Linked DNA regions of Medicago truncatula. The protein of the gene in region 1 interacts with the protein of each later gene in a pairwise test. Links are inferred from orthologs where the notes say so. Each region holds a gene or a part of one and is shown on either strand. Other genes may lie near its edges.

Region 1 (9,570 bases):
ATAACCAACAATCTTGATAAACTTTTGATCCAAGTTGGATGCAAATTGTAACTTGTAAGGAGACAAATCAAATGCAGTAACAGCGTTTCATATAACAACCAAAAAAATCAGTGGCTATTGCAGGGAACCAAGAGAAATTAACTCACATATGATACGTGACGTGAAAGGGGCTAGAATAGAATTGAAGCAACGTGTCACATGAAATTCATCCATGCATGTGAAGTTCAGCTGTTTCTGAATTATTATTACAGTCATAACGACTAGAGAATTTCTATCGTACATTTGGAGAATCAGTTATTGTTCTTTGAACTTTGAACCAATACTTTTTCTTTTTAAAGATGAAATATATCTCAATAACTAAAATGAGTTACCATTAAATAAATAAATTTCAGTACTATATAATATCATTTTAAAATTTAGAATAATTAAATATATTAAAAATGTTTCTTTCAAAGCTAAAATATAATATAAATGACTCCAATCCATTGTACAAATTAGGGTTAAATATGTTTTTAGTCTTTATATTTTACGCTCTATTGAAGAATAGTCTCTACATTTGATTAAATATTTTTTTTAAAAAAAATATTGTTAGATAAGTATGTATCATCTAATTTGTTAGTTTGTTAGGGGAGAGTTGAACCTATGACACTCTTCTTGTTCCTTTAACTAAACTGTCTGCCGAACTTACCAACCATGCACCTTATTACAAACATTTTCTCTAGTCTTAAATATAAAACGAAAGTTAAGTAAATAAAAGTTAATGTATTTAGTTTAAAATTTGAATTAAATATATTAATATTTTATGATCAAATTTTGTCTTGTATTTAGGACAATGACAGTAGTTTGTTGATTCAAAGCATATATTTCAAATCTATTAATGAGTTAGAAAAACCATCACTCTCCAATCTAACCAATGGTTATCTGCACCGCAAACTCTTGACTCGTTCCTTTCTCTCATATATACACTAATCCTAGTACAATATTTAACGCTTATATTGTAACTATGGAACATGCATCCACCACAAAAAAGATAGGAAGTGAGGTCCACATGAATGCAGCCAAGTCCCTTAACCAGGTCAGGAAGGGTCCAAGTGGACGTTGGGCATTTCCCATGTCTAGCTCGGTCGGGTCCACACCATGAGCTTAGCTTTAATCTCTATTTATTTTGCAGAGTATTCCTTTGGCTCCCCAAATATAAAATATTCGTTTTGGAATGTTGGCTCCTCAAAGGCTAAACAGTCAAATAGAAGATATATAGTGCTGCAGGCAGTGCATGCTCCATGCGTTGTAAATGAGACTTATCATTCTATGAATATCTAGCATTTATAAAATATATATATATATATATATTACGCTGCTTTTTTATTAATATATATTTTGTATTGAGAAAAGTCTCACACCAAAAAGATGAGGATATACCAAAGTTTATAAAGAATGACATAATCCATTTTATTTTTTAATGATCAAGATAGATGAACGACAAGAATCTTAGTCTACCATGGAGAAATCGTTATGCCAAATCTATAAAATCATCAATAATATTTGCACCCATCACACGACTCTTAGAAAAGTTGATCTTGAACCATAAGGCAAGCTTGAAGCACACAAGGATATGTTTTTCAAAGACTAAATATTCCTAACCAATGCTTCCCCCAAATAAGAACATATATCATTTGCATATAGTATGTGAGTCATAGACAAACCAACATTACCCACCCTAAACCTAGAGAATATATTACGTTCTTCCGCACTCCTAACATCCCCACTTAGGCCCTCCACCATGAGAAGGAAGAGAAATGGAGCCAACGAATCCCCTTGTTTCAACCCCCTTGGATGTTGATCTCTTCAGTTGGGCTGCCAATAGCAAGCACATAGAGGTTCCTACATAAAACACAAGCACTAATCCAACTTCACAACCTCTCCCCAAAACCAAATCTCCTCAGCATATATACTCGAGAAAAGTTAAACTTACCAAGTCATAAGCCTTTTCAAAATCAACATTAAAAATAAGGCACTTTTCTTATAATTACGGGTCAAATCAATAATCCCGTTAACCGCCACCACCCGTCAACATTGTTAAATATATTGAGGGAGGGCTTTGTCACCCATTATACTACTATTCATATTGAGGGATTAGTTTATGCAGTTGCGCGTATATGATATACGTGGTTTACACAAAAAAAAAAAAACTAATTTGTGGTTTTTCTTTTAAGAAGTAAAAGCTATTTTGTCATTGAGTAGAATCTAACATGTATTTTTTACTATGTTATAGGTACGAAGTTTCTACCGTCATCTATCGATAACTATTTTTATCGAGAATAACTAATTTCTATCGAGGAATGTGAGACATTCATTAATGGTGGAATCTAATATGTTTCTAATCATATAAATCAACTAGGCTTAATGATGTGTTTCGTCCTTGCAATTAGGCGTCATTTAAAAATTAGTCCCTGTTATCGCTAATCCTGACAATTTACCCTTACATTATTTAATCATTTAAAATTTCGTCCTTTGACCAACTTAATCACTGTAACGTCATCAAATTAGCAAAATGGCATGAGAATGGACAAAAATAGTTGCAAGGACGAAACACATCATTAAGCCAATCAAAGTTGGATTACACGATGTTCCTTTACTTTATTTTCACTAAAATGTCGCTCATGCATTCCCTAATTTGTCTTGAATAAGGCAAATACTACAACTAAGTACATGATATCTAATATTGTACTTGGTTCCTATAATAAAATGGTATAATGTACTTAGTTATTGTCACGGTATGGAGTATCTTTTTTGACGGCACACAGTACGTATAGGTATAGTAGTTATTGTACTTGCCATTTTCTAAGAATGCATTTCATTACGGCATAGATTGGTTATGCGTCAACCAAAATCTGCAGGGTTAAATACTATTATTAAAGTAGCACTTCTTTTAGGCTATAAAAAGACATTACCTATCAACTGAGTTGTATCAGAATACATGAGACATTGGATATATTTATCTCCATATATCTATCTATCTTATTTATCTACTGCAAATCACACATATTATAAAAATACACAAAAATCAAAGAACTTTGATATCATCGACGTAGTTACTTAGAAAAAGAGGATACACAATTTGCTACTCCACACTACTATCTTTTTAATTAAAAGACAGGCAGACATCCAATCCCTTGCAGATTATCTCGTTGACCCATAACTAATCCGTGTCTTAATAAAATATATGCATTCTTAGAAAGTGGCAATAAAAACCTCTACTCGTATTATACTATGTTGTATTTGCCTAATTAAACACAGAGGTCATGGGGGACATTTTAGTGACAATAAAATATGGGGACCGCGCATGTTAATCTAACTATAGTTTATTTTGTTAGGAACATGTTAGATTCTACCTGATGATGACAAATGAGCCTTAATTAATACTTTTTCAAGAAAACTACAACTAATTAAAGTAGTTGTCTTTAATTCTTTAGATTTCAAATGATTGAGAATTTAACTCATATAAAGTGAATTAAGTGTATATGAAAAAAAATTGATTTGTTCTAATGCATATAGTGCATTTGATTTTATTATTAATTGTTCACGTTTTCGTTGACTTCTTCTCAAGTTTTTAGTAGAAGAAGGTATGATATTTCAGACTTCTGTCCGAGGTAAGTAATAAATTATGATTTGATTATTTTGTTTTAGTTAGGGTTTTAATTCAAATTCTTTCATACGATTTTATTTTAATGAAAAGTTCATTAACTATTTAAGCACACCTACTTAGTTAAGTGATTAATTAGCTCGCATAAAAACAACTCATACACTGATTAATTATGCCAAAACCCTTGTCACAACAAATCCAAGACTCATTATTCCAAAACCCTTGTCACAACAAATCCAAGACGCACATAAGTTTTAAAACATAGAAAATCAGAAAAAGGACACCACTCTAGCATGATTGCAATGCCAAGTTGCCATTGCCAAATATCATAGGCCACCACTCAATTATCCTTAAACCAAAGTCTCTCCCACAATGAAGGGAAATAAGATTGCTCCTTTTGTCAATTAAGCTTATTTTAATTAATACAAAAAAAATAATGATCAAGTCAATGACTTTATTAATGTCTTAAACTTCAATTAACAAACCAAGAAATTTAATTATGTATTTTTTTAAGGTTATCTACTAAAGAGTGTCACTGTCCAAACAAGTTATAATGATATGGATATGATTTTGTTGTGTTGCATTATGGATGCACCCAATTTGCAAGGATAATATATACAAAAGAACTTATAAATTAAATACACAGTACAGGGACATTTTCTCTCTCATCTTACCATGGTCCACTCCATGGTCTCACACACTATTATGGGAAACAAACCTACCCACCCACTTTAGGGCAAAAAAGTCTCAGACAGCAATAGCAGCGTGTGATTCACTCGCTTAAAAGGAGGGTAACCGTTGGATTTTGAAAAGGTTTAAGAAAACTTTGTTTTTTTTTTTTCCCTTAAAAAACAATAATAAATCATTATTTTCTTTAAAAAACAATAAATATAAATTGGTAAAGTGTATCGAATACATCACAAGTTTAAAATCGTTAAAAATAATATGGATGAATCTATAAATAAACTTACAATACTTAATTAGTAGTTTCCTTAGAAAAAATTAATCTGTAGTCCTAACAAAATATTCAATTAATAGTATACAACAACAGTGGATTATTTACGAATAATATAATAAAATCAAAATGAATCAAATAAGCACCGCAATAACGCGAGAAATAAAAGAAAAAACGTCAACATCATACAAGATTCCAAACAACAAAACACAACACGTAAACGACGAAATCATGAAAAAACACGAAAAATTTATCTATTTGAAACCACTTATTTAAATTTAGTGAAGAGAAAAGATAATATAGAGCATGTCGTTCATTGTAAGGAGCTTCTCGACTTTAAGTATATGTGAACTTTGTTAGGGATATCCTTTTTGATGTATTTAGGCGGGCGGGAGTATAAGTGAAGAAGGAGACGCTTTTGAACTTTCTGACCGACCCATTAGATAGAAAATCGACACTTAGGCCTGCGGATGTTATGATGTACATATGGACAGGAGGAAAACATGCATGCGTGGACTTGATTGAGGTTTCACCACTTGTGGGATTAGGGGCCAAGGCTTTTACAGTAAGACAGACAGCCCTAAAAGTTGTGTCAAGCAAAATGGTCAAATACGAGAAAGGTGTTCTGACAATCAACGTGTTTTTACATTATTATTTTTTTACACTTTCGGCTTCCTAGCACCAGAGGATGTTGACATTCTATATTGAGTTTAAACATTCGTGCATAGTAATGTCATGTCTCATAGGTCCATAAATATTATATTTATCCAAAAAGACCCAACGGTACAACTTGTTGCTCGTTTGTCTTCTATTGATATGTGCATATAATCCTATAAATAATTAAATGATTACAATTTGGTGCTCGCTTGTCTTCTATTTATATGTCCAAATAATCCTAGAAATAATTAAATGATAGAGAGAGAAAGTGGTTTAAAAAAAAAAAAAAATTGATCCAAAAATGAATAAAGAAGAAACAAAACTTAACCAGACATTAACCATGGTTTAGAATAGAAACCTTTTTTTTCTCTGTTTTTGTCTTCCCAGTTGTGTGCGTGTGTCACTGCATTGGTTTTCTTCAAACTCTGCAAATCTTTCGCCGCCTTCTTCGTCCATTTGGGTCATTCCCGAACTTCTTAAATAGTGCATTTTCTCTTTCTTCAAGCTTCAAAGATTGCTTTTTTGATAACTTCTGAGTTGCATTTGGAATATCAAAAAAACCTTCTTGTTGTGTGATTAAGCTAAAGTTTTCATGAAATTTTGAAACTTTTTGATTACCCAGTTGAAAAATGATAACTGGGTCATTGGAGTTACATAGATTTTCCTTGATCTCAGCCGAGAATCAGTGTCACTGTATTCAGTGGAATTTTTGTTAACCGACTTAAATGCTGATTAGTGCTTAATTTTAAGATTAAAAAATTAAGATTGGATTAAAGTCACTTACTTTACTTGACAAGGTTAGTATAAAGAATTTGTTTGACTGATGTTGTTTTATTAACTTAATTTTGTATTATAGTTTTGTAACTTTTGTTAATTCATTGATAAAGACTTTTTTGGGTATTAAAAAAAGATTTTTTTTTTTTTTAATTTCATTGATGCAAGCTTGTTTTTGTTTCATTTTAAATTGAATAGAGATTGATATGATTATCTCACTCATAGTTTATTGTGGCTTACGTCAGGTATTTCTGCTTTGTCTTCAAACTTCATTTGGATTCCAAAGGTGGAAAAGATAACACACAAGAATATGTTGGAAGCAATGCTAATACTAAGAGCTTTGGTTTTTTGATTTGTGGTTTTTTAGCTGAGGTTTTGGTTCTGTTGAGCTTTTGATTCATTCATTCATCATGCCTCTTTATGAGTTATACCGTTTGGCCAGAGAGAAGCTTGATAATGAGACTAACGGCACAAGTGTAGCAGATCAACCTTCGTCGTAAGTTCATTAACATAAGCTTTTGTAACTTGTGTTATTAACTTTTTTGATGTGTTTGATGAAATGAAATGGTTTCTTTTGTTTATGTTTTTTTTTCTCTTAGTTTTGTTTGTTTTGGATTTGATTTGAATGTGTAGGCCTGAGAATGATTTTTTTGAGCTGGTTTGGGAGAGTGGTCAGATTTCAAGCCAAGGTCAATCAAGTAGAGGTAGAAAGAGTCCATCTTGTAGGAGTTTGCCATCTCACTGTTTACCATCTCATAGTCCTAGAGGTCGAGATAAAGATAAAGACGTAGGAGGAGGATTTAGTAACAACAATCCAAAGATAGGAAAGTTTGGTGATTTAGACTCTGGATTGAATGAGATTCCAATGTCGGTGCCATCTCGCGAAGTGGATGAAATGATGCCTTGGTTGGATTATTCAATGGATGGCTCTTTGCAACACGAATATGGTTCTGATTTCTTTCATGAACTCACGGAGAATGACCTTCCTGCCTCGAATAGTTTTACTCTATTGGATAAAAGGAATAATGGGAATCAGATATTTAGGGACTCTCATAAAAATTCTGCAGAAGCGATGAATGTTTCCAAGGGTTCTTCAGCTGAACAGGTTGTTGAGACTGCAAGACATAAAGCTAGTGCCAGTCAGTTATATCCCCCATCATCAAATCAATGTCAAACAACATCTGTAACTGTTAGATCTAGGGCATCAGATATAACCGAAAATAATAATGTTAGTAGTGGTAACCAGGACGTGCCTTATGGGGATATTACTCGCATTCCATCTTCCTCGAGCGATTTTTCTAGCTTAAAAGCGCAGAAGCAAGATCCTGTAATGCCTGGCAATGGTTCCAATGTAATGAATTTTTCCCATTTTGCAAGGCCTGCAGCTATTGTGAGAGCTAATCTTCAGAACATTGGCTTGAAGTCTGGTTTGAATTCAGCTTCAGCAAGATCAGATATTATGGGAGTTAAGAATAAAGGCGCTGCTTCGACTAGCAGCAATCCTCCTGATTCAGCTCTTGTTAATCCAAGCGGTGAGTGTTCAAAGGAACCGGAAATGCGTTGTCATAAGGTGGTAGAGCCATCCAAGGCTGATTTGAAACCTTTGCAGCCGAAATCGCTTGAACCGAATGCTGTAGCTACTAAACAATCGAAGCCTGCTTGCAAAGAGAATGGAATTAAGAATGATCAACCTTCCATTCAAGTTCTTGGTGACAATGGCGCTAAAGGACACGCAGCTGCTGACAAAGGCATGGAGGTGGCAGTAGCCTCTTCTTCTGTTTGCTCTGGCAATGGTGCAGACAGAGGCTCGGATGATCCAAATCGAGATTTAAAACGGAAAAGTAGAGACACTGAGGACTCTGAATGCCATAGTGAAGTAAGTTAATAATATAGATATTTTTACATTGTTTTCTTAATTTATAATTTCCCTCTATAAACCAAGAAAACACTTTGATTGAAGGATGTTGAGGATGAATCAGTGGGAGTTAAAAAGGGAGCGGCTGGACGAGGAGTTGCAGGTTCCAAAAGAAGCCGTGCTGCTGAAGTGCATAATCTATCTGAAAGGGTGAGTAAGGCCATCTGTTATTTGTGTCATGTTAACTTTGTAACCACACATATTTTTCCTCAAGCTTATTTTATTTCCATTTTGGCTGATGATCATAATTTATGTATACAGAGGCGAAGAGACAGGATAAATGAGAAGATGCGTGCATTGCAAGAACTCATACCTAATTGCAATAAGGTTAGTTTTTTTCCTTCTGATTTTGCTCTTCTTAGATACCTGAAAAACTGTATAAAATTATGGACTTCATTTGTTGTTTTTGACAAATATAGAATATTGGTTGCCACTATGGATCCAAACTTAGCTAGTTACAGAAGCTTGTTCTTTTTTAGTGCAGAAGATTTATGAAATTATTGGAAGTTAAAATTTACAGCAACAAATATCAAACTTGGAGTCAATCATTTACCGTATTCATGAAGTGTATTCAATATTCATAATAAAAATGTCAGAAATTCCATTTTGGCTTGTTCAAAAAAAAAAAAAATGTCAAAAGTTCAATACAAACTATTAAAATACTTTCTACATGTATGCATACTTAATTCCTTATTTATTTCGGCTTTTCTGACTTCATACGGACTAGGTGGATAAAGCTTCTATGCTGGATGAGGCAATTGAGTATCTAAAAACACTTCAGCTCCAAGTTCAAGTAAATATCGTTCCCCCTCGGCATTAATATTTTAGTTTTAAATTTTCTGATTATAAACGATGTTGAGAGTGATTCCTATCTTACGCAGATGATGTCAATGGGAGCTGGTTTATATATGCCTCAAATGATGTTACCTGCTGGAATGCAGCACATGCATGCACCACACATGGCCGCATTTTCACAGACGGGCATCGGCATGCATATGGGGTTAGGTATGGGTTATGGAATGGGAATGCCTGACATGAACGGCGTGCCGTCTAGATTTCCAATGATTCAAGTACCTCAGATGCAAGGAAATCATGTGCCCGTTGCGCATATGCCTGGACCCTCTGCTATGCATGGAATGGCCAGATCGAATACTCAAGGGTTTGTACTTCCGGGACAGGGAACTTCCATGCCAATGCCGCATACTCCGGTATTCCCTTTTTCAGGAGGGCCTCTTATGAACTCATCCGCTCCGGGTCCGTCTGTGTATGGATCCACAGGACATGTTGAAGCTGTGAATCCGGCTTCAGCGTGTGGCTCAAAAGATCGAAGGCCAGATGTGGACTCAAAAATTAAGCAAAACACTGCTGGTCGTGACTCTACAAGCCAGATCCCTAACCAGGTCTGTTTATCCCTAACCAGGTCTCTGTGATCAATTTTCACATTAGTTAAAACATTGTTTCCGTAATAATTTTCTGTTATTCTTACGCTTGATGTTTATGTTCCCCTTTTCTGTTATACTAGTGTGTGTGAACTAACAACTTGTTGGATTTAAACAGTCAACTTTGGTACATAATGGTGGCCATACTTCAGTGGCTGATGACAGTGAAGCTGCTAATCCTGGCAAT
Region 2 (9,611 bases), on another chromosome or scaffold:
AGCATGGATCACCCTGATGTTTGTTGGTTTGGGGAAATTTGCAATGGTTTTGAAGGACATGTTTGGGAAGGTTATCAAGCCTTCTGTGTTTGTTCCTCCGATGCATTTTGTTGTCGACAGAATAAATGTTGCACCAACATTCAACAATAATCTGCCTCCTTTGACTGCTAACCTTTCATTTCGCCATGACAACAACAATTTTGCTGTTAATATGATGAAAAAACTAACTGAAAATGATGTTTCTAAGGGGTTTTTGGTAGGTCGTATGGTTTGTTTATTTTTGTTTTAATCAGTTTTCATCTTTATAATTTACATGTCCCTGATCCTAATTACTGTACGTGATGTTCGCTTTAAATGAAGGTGTTGCATTTTGGACATTTTGTGGATCAAGCTTTTGACAAGGCTAGAACAAACTTGAAGTTGCTTGATGAGTGTGGAAATTCGTGGCAATGTGTCTTGGTTTTTGCTTCTGCATCATATGGGCAATGTGTCTTGGTTTTTGATGTAAATGTCACGTGATGTATAAGAAATACAAACTTCACCATCTTATTACTATACTATTATCTAGCTAGCCTTCATATATAATATTTAAGAAGAGAGATTACAAATATATTTATGTTCTAATTTGTATTTTTGCCTGTCTTAATTTTTATCTTTTTCAATTATCTAAAGTCTTATTATATTATCGAATGCCATACAGCTTATAAGACCCGTGCGGCGCACGGGTCATCAATCTAGTTCAAATATATCTTAGAGCTTCCTCCTATCACTAGTTTATAAAAGGATAAACACCATAGTTTACACCAATAGTTGGTATTATGAGAAGAAAAATGCTTGCAAGTCTGCTGCCAAAGCACATTCATTACACTGGCTTTCAGACACTTGCCACAAGAATGAAGAAGATAAGAGATAATGAACCGTAATTTTCAATTTGAGGATATATGATGGAAGAGGATGAGATGAAGTTTGTTGGAACAATAGTCAAAATTAGTTAAAAAAAATAATTTTGTCACCGAAGATATTAGTAGGCTGATTCGCGGACTAGGTCGCTCTTTTTAAGACGTTTCATGACACTGTCCAAAATTGTGAAAGAAGAATATCAACCACGATGTCCCCAGGATAAAACAACCCAGCTACAACTGTATCAAAGTCCTATTGCACTATAGGATCTGTTCTAGAAATACACCTTCAAATATGGTGCTAAGACCACTCTAATATGATATTGATACCACTCTATTATGGTACTAGGACCATTATATGGTACTAGGACCATTCTTATATGGTACTAAGATCATTCTTATATGGTGTTTCCGCCACTCTAACCTCTAACTTTTTCTCCTAGGGCATAAAACATAAAAAGGGATTATATTCTTAAGATCATTCTTATTTTTCGAAGGGACACTTTATCTTGAAAGGGACTATGTTCTTAAGACCATTCTTAATTCCGAAGGGACATTTTAAACCGAATAGACTATGACCTTAAGAACACTCTTTAAATCCGAAGGGACAAAAAAAGAGGAAGAGAAAAAGAATAGCTCGTCAACACAAGCTAAAGGAGGGAGAAGAGAGAAAAATTATTTGACAACTCAAGAGAACTTTTGGGGAGAATAGAAGTGAGGGAGAGGAGCTCTACTTATAGGTGAAAAGCCAAAGATGAATTACAAATCCAATGACTATGATTAGTTGACCGTTAAAAAATCAATGGCTTGATCTCGCCTCATAAATGAATACTAATATTGAGAAAGTTTACATGAGAATTTGTTTTAATCGACACCGTAACACTCCATATGTTCCAACAAAGTTAAATTTAGAAAGGTAACAATCAAATCCACGCTGGTTGCCACCTATTATTTTTTAACTTTTTTTATAACTCCTATGTAATGTTGGAGGCTAGTATGCTACCTAGTAAAAAAGATAAATACTAAAACAGATAAAAAAAATAAAGAACTAAAACAAATATTTGTTTTTAACAAGTCAAAATGAATTATATTAACACTGACAGTGCAATCGCTTCAGCACAAGGCGTGCCAAAACAATCACGAAAAGTATAATAGGTCTGTTAAAACTACATAAAAAGCTAGTTGTTGCCAAATACATAAGTGGAATCGACCACTACAAATGAGTACCGAGAACAAAGGTAGCATTACTAGCTTTCAACCACCACAAAGAGTATGATTTATTTTATCTAACAGAAGTGGAATAAAGCTTTGTTGGTTCTTAAATTACATGTTATTTCGTTCGTTCCACAAGACCCAAACGCACAAGAGCCATATCAGATGAAAAATGGATCGCCGTGATTTCAGACCACCTACATAATTAATAAATTGCAAGATATGATCTGAAATAACATGAGAGTCCGCTCCATCAAATCCAAGCTACACCCGCACCAATTATTAGATAAAGGATAAATAATCTCACAAATAGACGATGAGATTGAATCTTTAAGATTAGTCAATCAACGGATAGGAGACCAGAGTTAAAAAAAATATATAAAAAATACTTAAACCTATAATATATTAATATATTTGTTGTATGCCCTTTGAGATACTCCTCCAATTGAGTGCTGTACAACAGTACTCATGAAAAATGGCAAACCTATGTTAGGTCTATTAGTTTCGCATCAAAGCAATATCTTCCAACTTGCAAGTACAGTACCACATAAGAATTTTTTTCAACTTTATTATTAAGTGACATAAGAATTTCATAATAATAATCTAATTACAACAATGCACATGTGGAAATTCTATGTCTTGCAAAAGTAAGAGAATACAATAATAAAATAAAGAGATAGGTTGATAGTGTTTGATAATTTGGAGGAGCATGAGGGCCACGTCTTTTCTCCGACATTGATGTCCCTTATCATTTCTCCAATAGAAAAACACAGCTTGTCACTGCCAAGTGGCATCATCCTCCATCCAATTTGAGATAGCACCCACCATGTGCTTTGAGTTTTAGATTTCCTTCTGCTTTAAATAATCAACAACCAATATCCAGATAAGCAAATAAATTTTCCATATCCAATTATTGTAAACTTTAAATTTATTATTAACGGTTCCCGTGAACATAATTCAGTTGGCAGAGACATTCATTATTATATGTAGGGGTTTGGGTTTGAACCTCGAACACTCCACTTATTCACTTTAAAAAAAGTGAATTCTAGCTATTAGACTACTTAAAAAAAATCATTATTAACAAGCAGAGGATTATGTGTAAGCATTTTTATTGATATAAAATCTGAACCTTTGTTCATAAATATAATATAATTATATAATTATTTACTAACAAGATCACATTTATGGATTGCACTTGTGACCTAATGTCACAAGTATAATTTTTTAAACATAAAAATATATGAAAAAGTAGAAAAAATAGTTGAATTAATTTATGTGTCATAATTAGATTGGTTAATGTTAATGTCAACTTTAAACGAGAGATTAAAAGTGAAGATAAATTATTTATATGTATCCAGAAATACTCAATTATTGTGGTTTGGTTTGTTTAATTTGGTTTTGAAAAAGTGATTTAAAATCTTACCTAAAGAGTCTTTTACAAAACATTATTTAAATGCATCCAGAAATACTCAATTATTTATATGTATCGCTCTTTTAGATCGGTTTGCAATTTTATTTTGGATTAGGTTGATAGTGAACACCCTTAATCTTAAGGACATTAATTAAGGGAGATAAAAAAGTAATAATTTTATGTGAAATAAAACAATTTTAAAAGTTTAAAAATAGAATTGGGTGAGGAGGACGGGAGATTGAAGGAGGGGGGACGGTGCATCTTTAGATGGTGGAGGACAGATTCTGATGTTCGAGGGGGCGTGGGATTGGGTGTCGGGAGTTGGTTCGACGACAACACACGTCGGGTTGTGGAAAATGGTAGTAGTACTTACTTCTGGACAGATAATTGGGTTGGCGGTGTTCCTTTACGGGATAAATACCGCATGCTATTTGATATGGCCGTGAGGCGAGGGAGTACGGTGGCGGAAATGGCGACCTTAGGTTGGGAGGTAGGAGGAGGAGCTTGGGTGTGGAGAAGACGCCTTTTAGCGTGGGAGGAGGAAGAGGTGAGGGAGTTTTCTGCTTTATTATCTAACATTGTTTTGCAGGAGCGTACTAATGATAAGTGGAAGTGGTTGTTAGACCCCATCCATGGCTATTCGGTGCATGGAGCTTATCAGTACCTCACATCTGCAGATGAGCCTACGGATAGGCACAACCTATCCAATGTTTGGCAACGACAAGTACCTCTAAAAGTTTCACTCTTTGGGTGGCGGCTACTGTGCAATATTCTTCCAACAAAGGACAATGTTCGGTGTCGGCATGTCATTACATCAGATAATACTTTGTGTGCCGATGGTTGTGGCTCTCAAGAGACGGCGAAGCATATTTCTTTTGGCTGTGCGACTCTGGGATGTGTATGACATCTTGTTTGGGAGTGGTTACAACTTATGTCGGTGTCTCCTTTATCACTTAATGTTCACTTTCTTCAGTTTAGTCATATATGGTGGCCATGTCGCAATCATCTCATTCGTTCTTCAAAATAATTTGGTTGCATGTATCTGGGTCATTTGGAAGGAGAGGAACAGTCAGGTTTTCAACAATAAGGCGGATGATCCTCATCATTCTCGACATGGTCAAACATACTTCTTTTTGGTGGTTAAAGGCGCATTTGTTTACCTTTGCATTTGACTATCATGATGGGTGGCGAAACCCTATGTCATGCATGGGTGTTTTTGTGTAATTATATCATTATTATTACGTCCATAGGATGGTGCTCCCTTGATATTGCACCAATGACTTTGTAACTTTGAGTGTTTCATCCGTTACACACCTTACGCGTGGTGTTTCACTCCCGTTTTAATTTCATGTTCCATTTTGGCTTATTAAAAAAAAAAAAAAAAAGAATTCACCACTCTAGCACATATTAATTTTCCTTTCTTAGAAGTTAGAACAATCTATATCATTTTCCTTTACAATTGATTTTACCATGTGATTTATTTTCCTTTTCAACTGATTTTACCATGTGATTTATTTTACTCTACAATTGATATTACCATGGGATTTCATCTCTCTCTCTCTCTATATATCTAAATGTGCTGATGTCAGTATCTTTCTTGTTGTTAAAACCTCTTGTTCATACTTTGTTCTCACACTTTCCAAAGCATAAGGACACACTCAAAGAGAACCAAACACAGAAGAAAAAGCAGGAACAAACAAGGAGCTTCTCTGTCAAGCTTCCAGCTACTTTCTACATCAGCAAGTCAGAAACAAAGGAGAAAAGAAACTAAAATCTATTTTGCTCAGTTTAGGTGAACTTCTTCTTTTATAATCCTTATCTAAATCTAAATGTGAGTGTTATAAATAATGGTCATAAAAATTATTAAATTTTCATACTTCTCTCTACTTCATGTTTTTCATTTATCAAATTAAATAAAGTACTATAAAGTGATTCATCAATCATTTCTTTGCTTATTTGCTTTCTTATTTTCTTCTTTTTTAGGAAATTGTTTTTCTGTGTCTGTGATAATATGCAATCTTTATGTAAGATAGCTGTCTCAAATTTTGCCTAATTTGTTGTGTTTAATGTTTTGTTATAAATTTTATTTTATGATCTTTCTCTTCTGGGCTTATGAATGTACATGTACTTTCAATAGTAATTGAGTGTTGATTTTTCCAATTTTGGGACTCTTGAAATTGGAATTCTTTGTTCAGAATAGAAAAAAAATACTTTAGTTTCATTTCATTGGTTAATTAATTCTCTTCTGTTAGTAAAGTTCCACACATGATCTAAACTCTTAAACCCTTTAAATTTTTTATTCCTTTTTTATCAATATAAAAATCTGTTTAATCTCATGCATATTTGATTATTCATTTAAATGGTCTTTACATAATATTTTATTCTTCTGCTTAATGGAGTCAAATTCTACTTAAAGGATCTTCATTTTTCTATTAAAAAAACTAATTTTCTTTCATTTTGGCGCAAACAGGTACTAGTTTGGTTCAGTTCGGTTCAGTTAGCGATGAACAACACCATTCCTGATTGGAATTTTGGGATTGATAGTTTTGTCACCAATCAAAAGAAGCAACCTATGGGGTTTGTGTTCAATATTTCATTATCAAAGCATAACAATATTATTGTCCAAATTAAATTTGATTAAAATATGAATAATTAATTATTAACCATGTGTTTAACATTACAGACTGGACCATGAACTTGTGGAGCTTCTATGGCAGAATGGTCAAGTAGTATTGAATAGCCAAACAAATAAGAAACAACTTGTGAATAACTCAAGACAAGTTCATAAGAATCTTCAATCAACAACTTTAAGCAACTTGATTCAAGATGATGAAACTGTTTCATGGATCCAACAATACCCTATTGAGGATCCACTTGAACAAGAATTATGTTCAAATCTTTTATCTGAACTTCCACCTTGTAATGTCGAGTCTTTCAATTCGCAACCGACGAATACAAAACCGCCTTTTGTTCAGGAATTTCCTATGTCGGCTCCGAGGTTTCATCACCTTGTTCCCGATTCATCGCAAAGAAACAATGATTTGTGTGGATCCAGCAAGGTTGTAAACTTTTCTCACTTTTCAAGACATCCCAATGTTACTTTAGCATCTACTAACGGCGATGCAAATTTAAGAGACAAAATTACGGGTAATCTGTCACAATGTGATGTTAGAGAGTGTTCGACGATGACAGTCGGTTCAAGTTATTGCGGAAGCAACCAAGTCCAACAAGATCCAGATGTAAGCAGAGTTTCAAGCAATGGTGTTTGGACTAATTTATCGACCGAGCCTGAACAAGTCAGAAATGATGTTCAGAAGACAATTCCTCGGCATGAGAATGGGAAATCGGAGAAGTTGGAACCTGCTTTTACTTCATCTTCTGGTGGTTCGGGAAGTAGTCTTGGAAAAACTTGTTCTTTATCTACAAGAAGTCATGACAAAAAGAGGAAAGTGATGGATGTTGAAGATTCAGTCGAACAAAGCGAGGTAAAACTGCGCCCTCTATCTTTTTACCTTCATAATTAGATGTTTTTCATTAATTGATACACTGAGTTATGATTTTATGGTTTGTGTTAATAGGATACAGAACTTAAATCAGGCGTGAGGAAAAAGACGTCTCAGCGATCAGGGTCGGCTCGTAGGAACCGCGCTGCTGAAGTGCATAATCTTTCAGAAAGGGTAAGGGTTTGACACTTCTCTAGATAGACTGAAGTTTTCTAAAATTTTGCGCTTACAAGAAGTGTTATTGATTTATTGATGCAGAGGCGAAGAGATAGGATTAATGAGAAGATGAAAGCATTGCAACAACTCATACCTCACAGTAGTAAGGTTTGTCATCAAACCATGTTTTTTTTTATAGGAAATTGCTAGTGGTTAATTTTTTAAGGCAACAAAGAATTTGTTAGTATCAGGTATTGAACCCTGAATACGCGTCAATATAATCTTGTATAGAAAACGATCGATTTTCCATTCTGTATACTGAGTAAGTGATATATATTGCAGACGGACAAAGCATCAATGTTAGAAGAGGCAATTGAATACTTGAAATCACTTCAGTTACAACTTCAGGTATATATTATGTGCCATACAATAATATCTTGCATATGAAAATCGCCTCGCATTGCTAAAGAATTTTTTTGATCTTTCTGTTAGGTAATGTGGATGGGATCTGGCATGACACCAATGATGCTACCGGGATATCAGCACTATATGTCACAAATGGGTATGGGAATGACTACGCCTTCGTTTCCTCCACTTCAAAATCCAATGCAATTACCGAGAATGCCTCTGGATCTGTCCGTTTCTTCGTCACAGACGCCAAATCAGACATTAACGTGCCAAAATCCTGTTTTAGGTGCCTTCAACTACCAAAATCAGATGCAAAATCCTGCTCTTTCGGAGCAATATGCTCGTTACATGGGCTATCATCTTATGCAAAATGCTTCTCAGGTACTTAGGGTTTGTTTGGATTGATATGTTTTTTCTACTGACATAAACATCTGAGAGACTATTTACGAGATCCTATGGAAACAAGTAATATGACATGTCGGGTGCGATCATACCAGCACCAATCCACCGGATCCCATCAGAACTCCGCAGTTAAACGTGCTTGGGCGAGAGTAGTACTAGGATGAGTGACCTATTGGGAAGTCCTTGTGTTTAAAAACAAAGTTATTTGACATGTCTATAAGTTGTTTTCAGCTTATTTGCACAAGTTCTTCATGATAGTTTAAGAAAACAACTTATATCTTATATGAAAACAGTTTAACTTATACTTTCTCTTTTTGTTAGAATATAACTGTTTAGTTAAGTTATTTATCCAAACAGGGTCTAAATTTAAGATGCTCCCCTTATAACTTAATGATATTCTCATGTTTTACCTATGGAAATTAATTTTACCTTGTATGTTGGTACTATTTTGTAGCCAATGAATATGTACAGATATGGTCCCCAAGCTGTACAAAATAGTCAAACAATGATTCCACCAAGCAATAGCAGTGGACCAATGAGTGGAACAGCAAACATTAATGATGCTGTGAGTGGCAAAATGGGTAGGCCAATACATAGCCTCTAATATTGTTCTCATATTATATGCTATATAAAGACATATCATTAAAAGTTTCATGATTTTTTTTTTCATTTTCTATTTAAAGGGTGATTCTAACTGATGCCCCGGATATTGGTTAAACATGCTAAAAAAGGAAATTATTATCATAAAAAAAAACATTTTTTACTTTTGTAGTATTAATTACACATTTTTAATGCAATAACTATTATCTAATTTCCTTTTTTATCATCCTTAACCGTGTTCTGTAGGTACCGGTTAGCATTTCCTTATATATCTAAAACTTACTAAAATTGTTACTTTTTTGAAGGACTAAAATTTTTACTTGCTGTCATTTTGTTTACAGGTTAATTAGTTTAGAGGAATTCCTAGAAGAACCAGCAACAAAAATATGTCTGCCAGCTCAACTATAAATATATGTATGTAGATAATATAGTTCACTTGATTTATATACAAGTGACTTATTTTTTGGATCTGTTGAAAATCTCAGATTAAATGAGATATGATTTAAAAATATGTTTATAAATAGAGGCAATTAGGTCCGACCTAAATTTTAAGTTGATCTATTGGTTGTGGTTGTACAATAATGTCCAAATAAAAACAGAAGCAACAATAAAAAGGGTCTAAATGTGAAATAAAAGGAAAGAATCAATACCTTCATTGAAATTCTATAACAATAAAGAAATTGTTTTTTTTTTTTTTTAAAAATAGCTACAATTAAAAATATTAAGAAAATGTTATATTACCATTCTTTCCTTGAACTCTTGTTAAAAGTAATAAAGTTGGTCTTCACATCATGCATTGTTACTAAATCAATCCATCAGACACTGATATATGAAAGGGCCACCTTCTACATGTTAAATGGAACATAAAACAAAAGTTAAATGTGTTTTTGTATCTATAAAGTTACCAAATTTTAAAGTTTAGCCCCTACATAAATTTTATTCAATTTTAATTGTTATTTTGATACTTCTATAAATAAAAATAGTGTTAACCCATTTGGGTTGGCCTGGTGGTATTGGCTT

The links.
Region 2: the proteins of transcription factor PIF3 (region 1) and transcription factor PIF4 interact in binary tests that used the Arabidopsis thaliana proteins (3 or more experiments, as listed by UniProt). The link is inferred for Medicago truncatula from reciprocal best matches to the Arabidopsis thaliana genes PIF3 and PIF4.

What each region holds. Positions count from the first base shown.
Region 1 is NC_053042.1:41,800,741-41,810,310, forward strand, and holds the start of transcription factor PIF3, read left to right. Parts: upstream 1-5,590; 5' UTR 5,591-5,715; exon of another isoform or gene 5,716-6,052; intron 6,053-6,274; 5' UTR 6,275-6,439; coding exon 6,440-6,525; intron 6,526-6,662; coding exon 6,663-7,905; intron 7,906-7,989; coding exon 7,990-8,094; intron 8,095-8,205; coding exon 8,206-8,271; intron 8,272-8,671; coding exon 8,672-8,737; intron 8,738-8,825; coding exon 8,826-9,344; intron 9,345-9,501; coding exon 9,502-9,570.
Region 2 is NC_053044.1:18,763,307-18,772,917, forward strand, and holds transcription factor PIF4, read left to right. Parts: upstream 1-5,123; 5' UTR 5,124-5,314; intron 5,315-5,992; 5' UTR 5,993-6,025; coding exon 6,026-6,099; coding exon of another isoform or gene 6,100-6,101; intron 6,102-6,205; coding exon 6,206-7,007; intron 7,008-7,100; coding exon 7,101-7,199; intron 7,200-7,283; coding exon 7,284-7,349; intron 7,350-7,523; coding exon 7,524-7,589; intron 7,590-7,673; coding exon 7,674-7,970; intron 7,971-8,075; exon of another isoform or gene 8,076-8,188; intron 8,189-8,445; coding exon 8,446-8,572; intron 8,573-8,932; coding exon 8,933-8,937; coding exon of another isoform or gene 8,938-8,941; 3' UTR 8,942-9,164; downstream 9,165-9,611. Other genes in the region: uncharacterized protein, read left to right, coding at 17-256, 361-519. UniProt on the Arabidopsis thaliana protein: Transcription factor acting negatively in the phytochrome B signaling pathway. May regulate the expression of a subset of genes involved in cell expansion by binding to the G-box motif.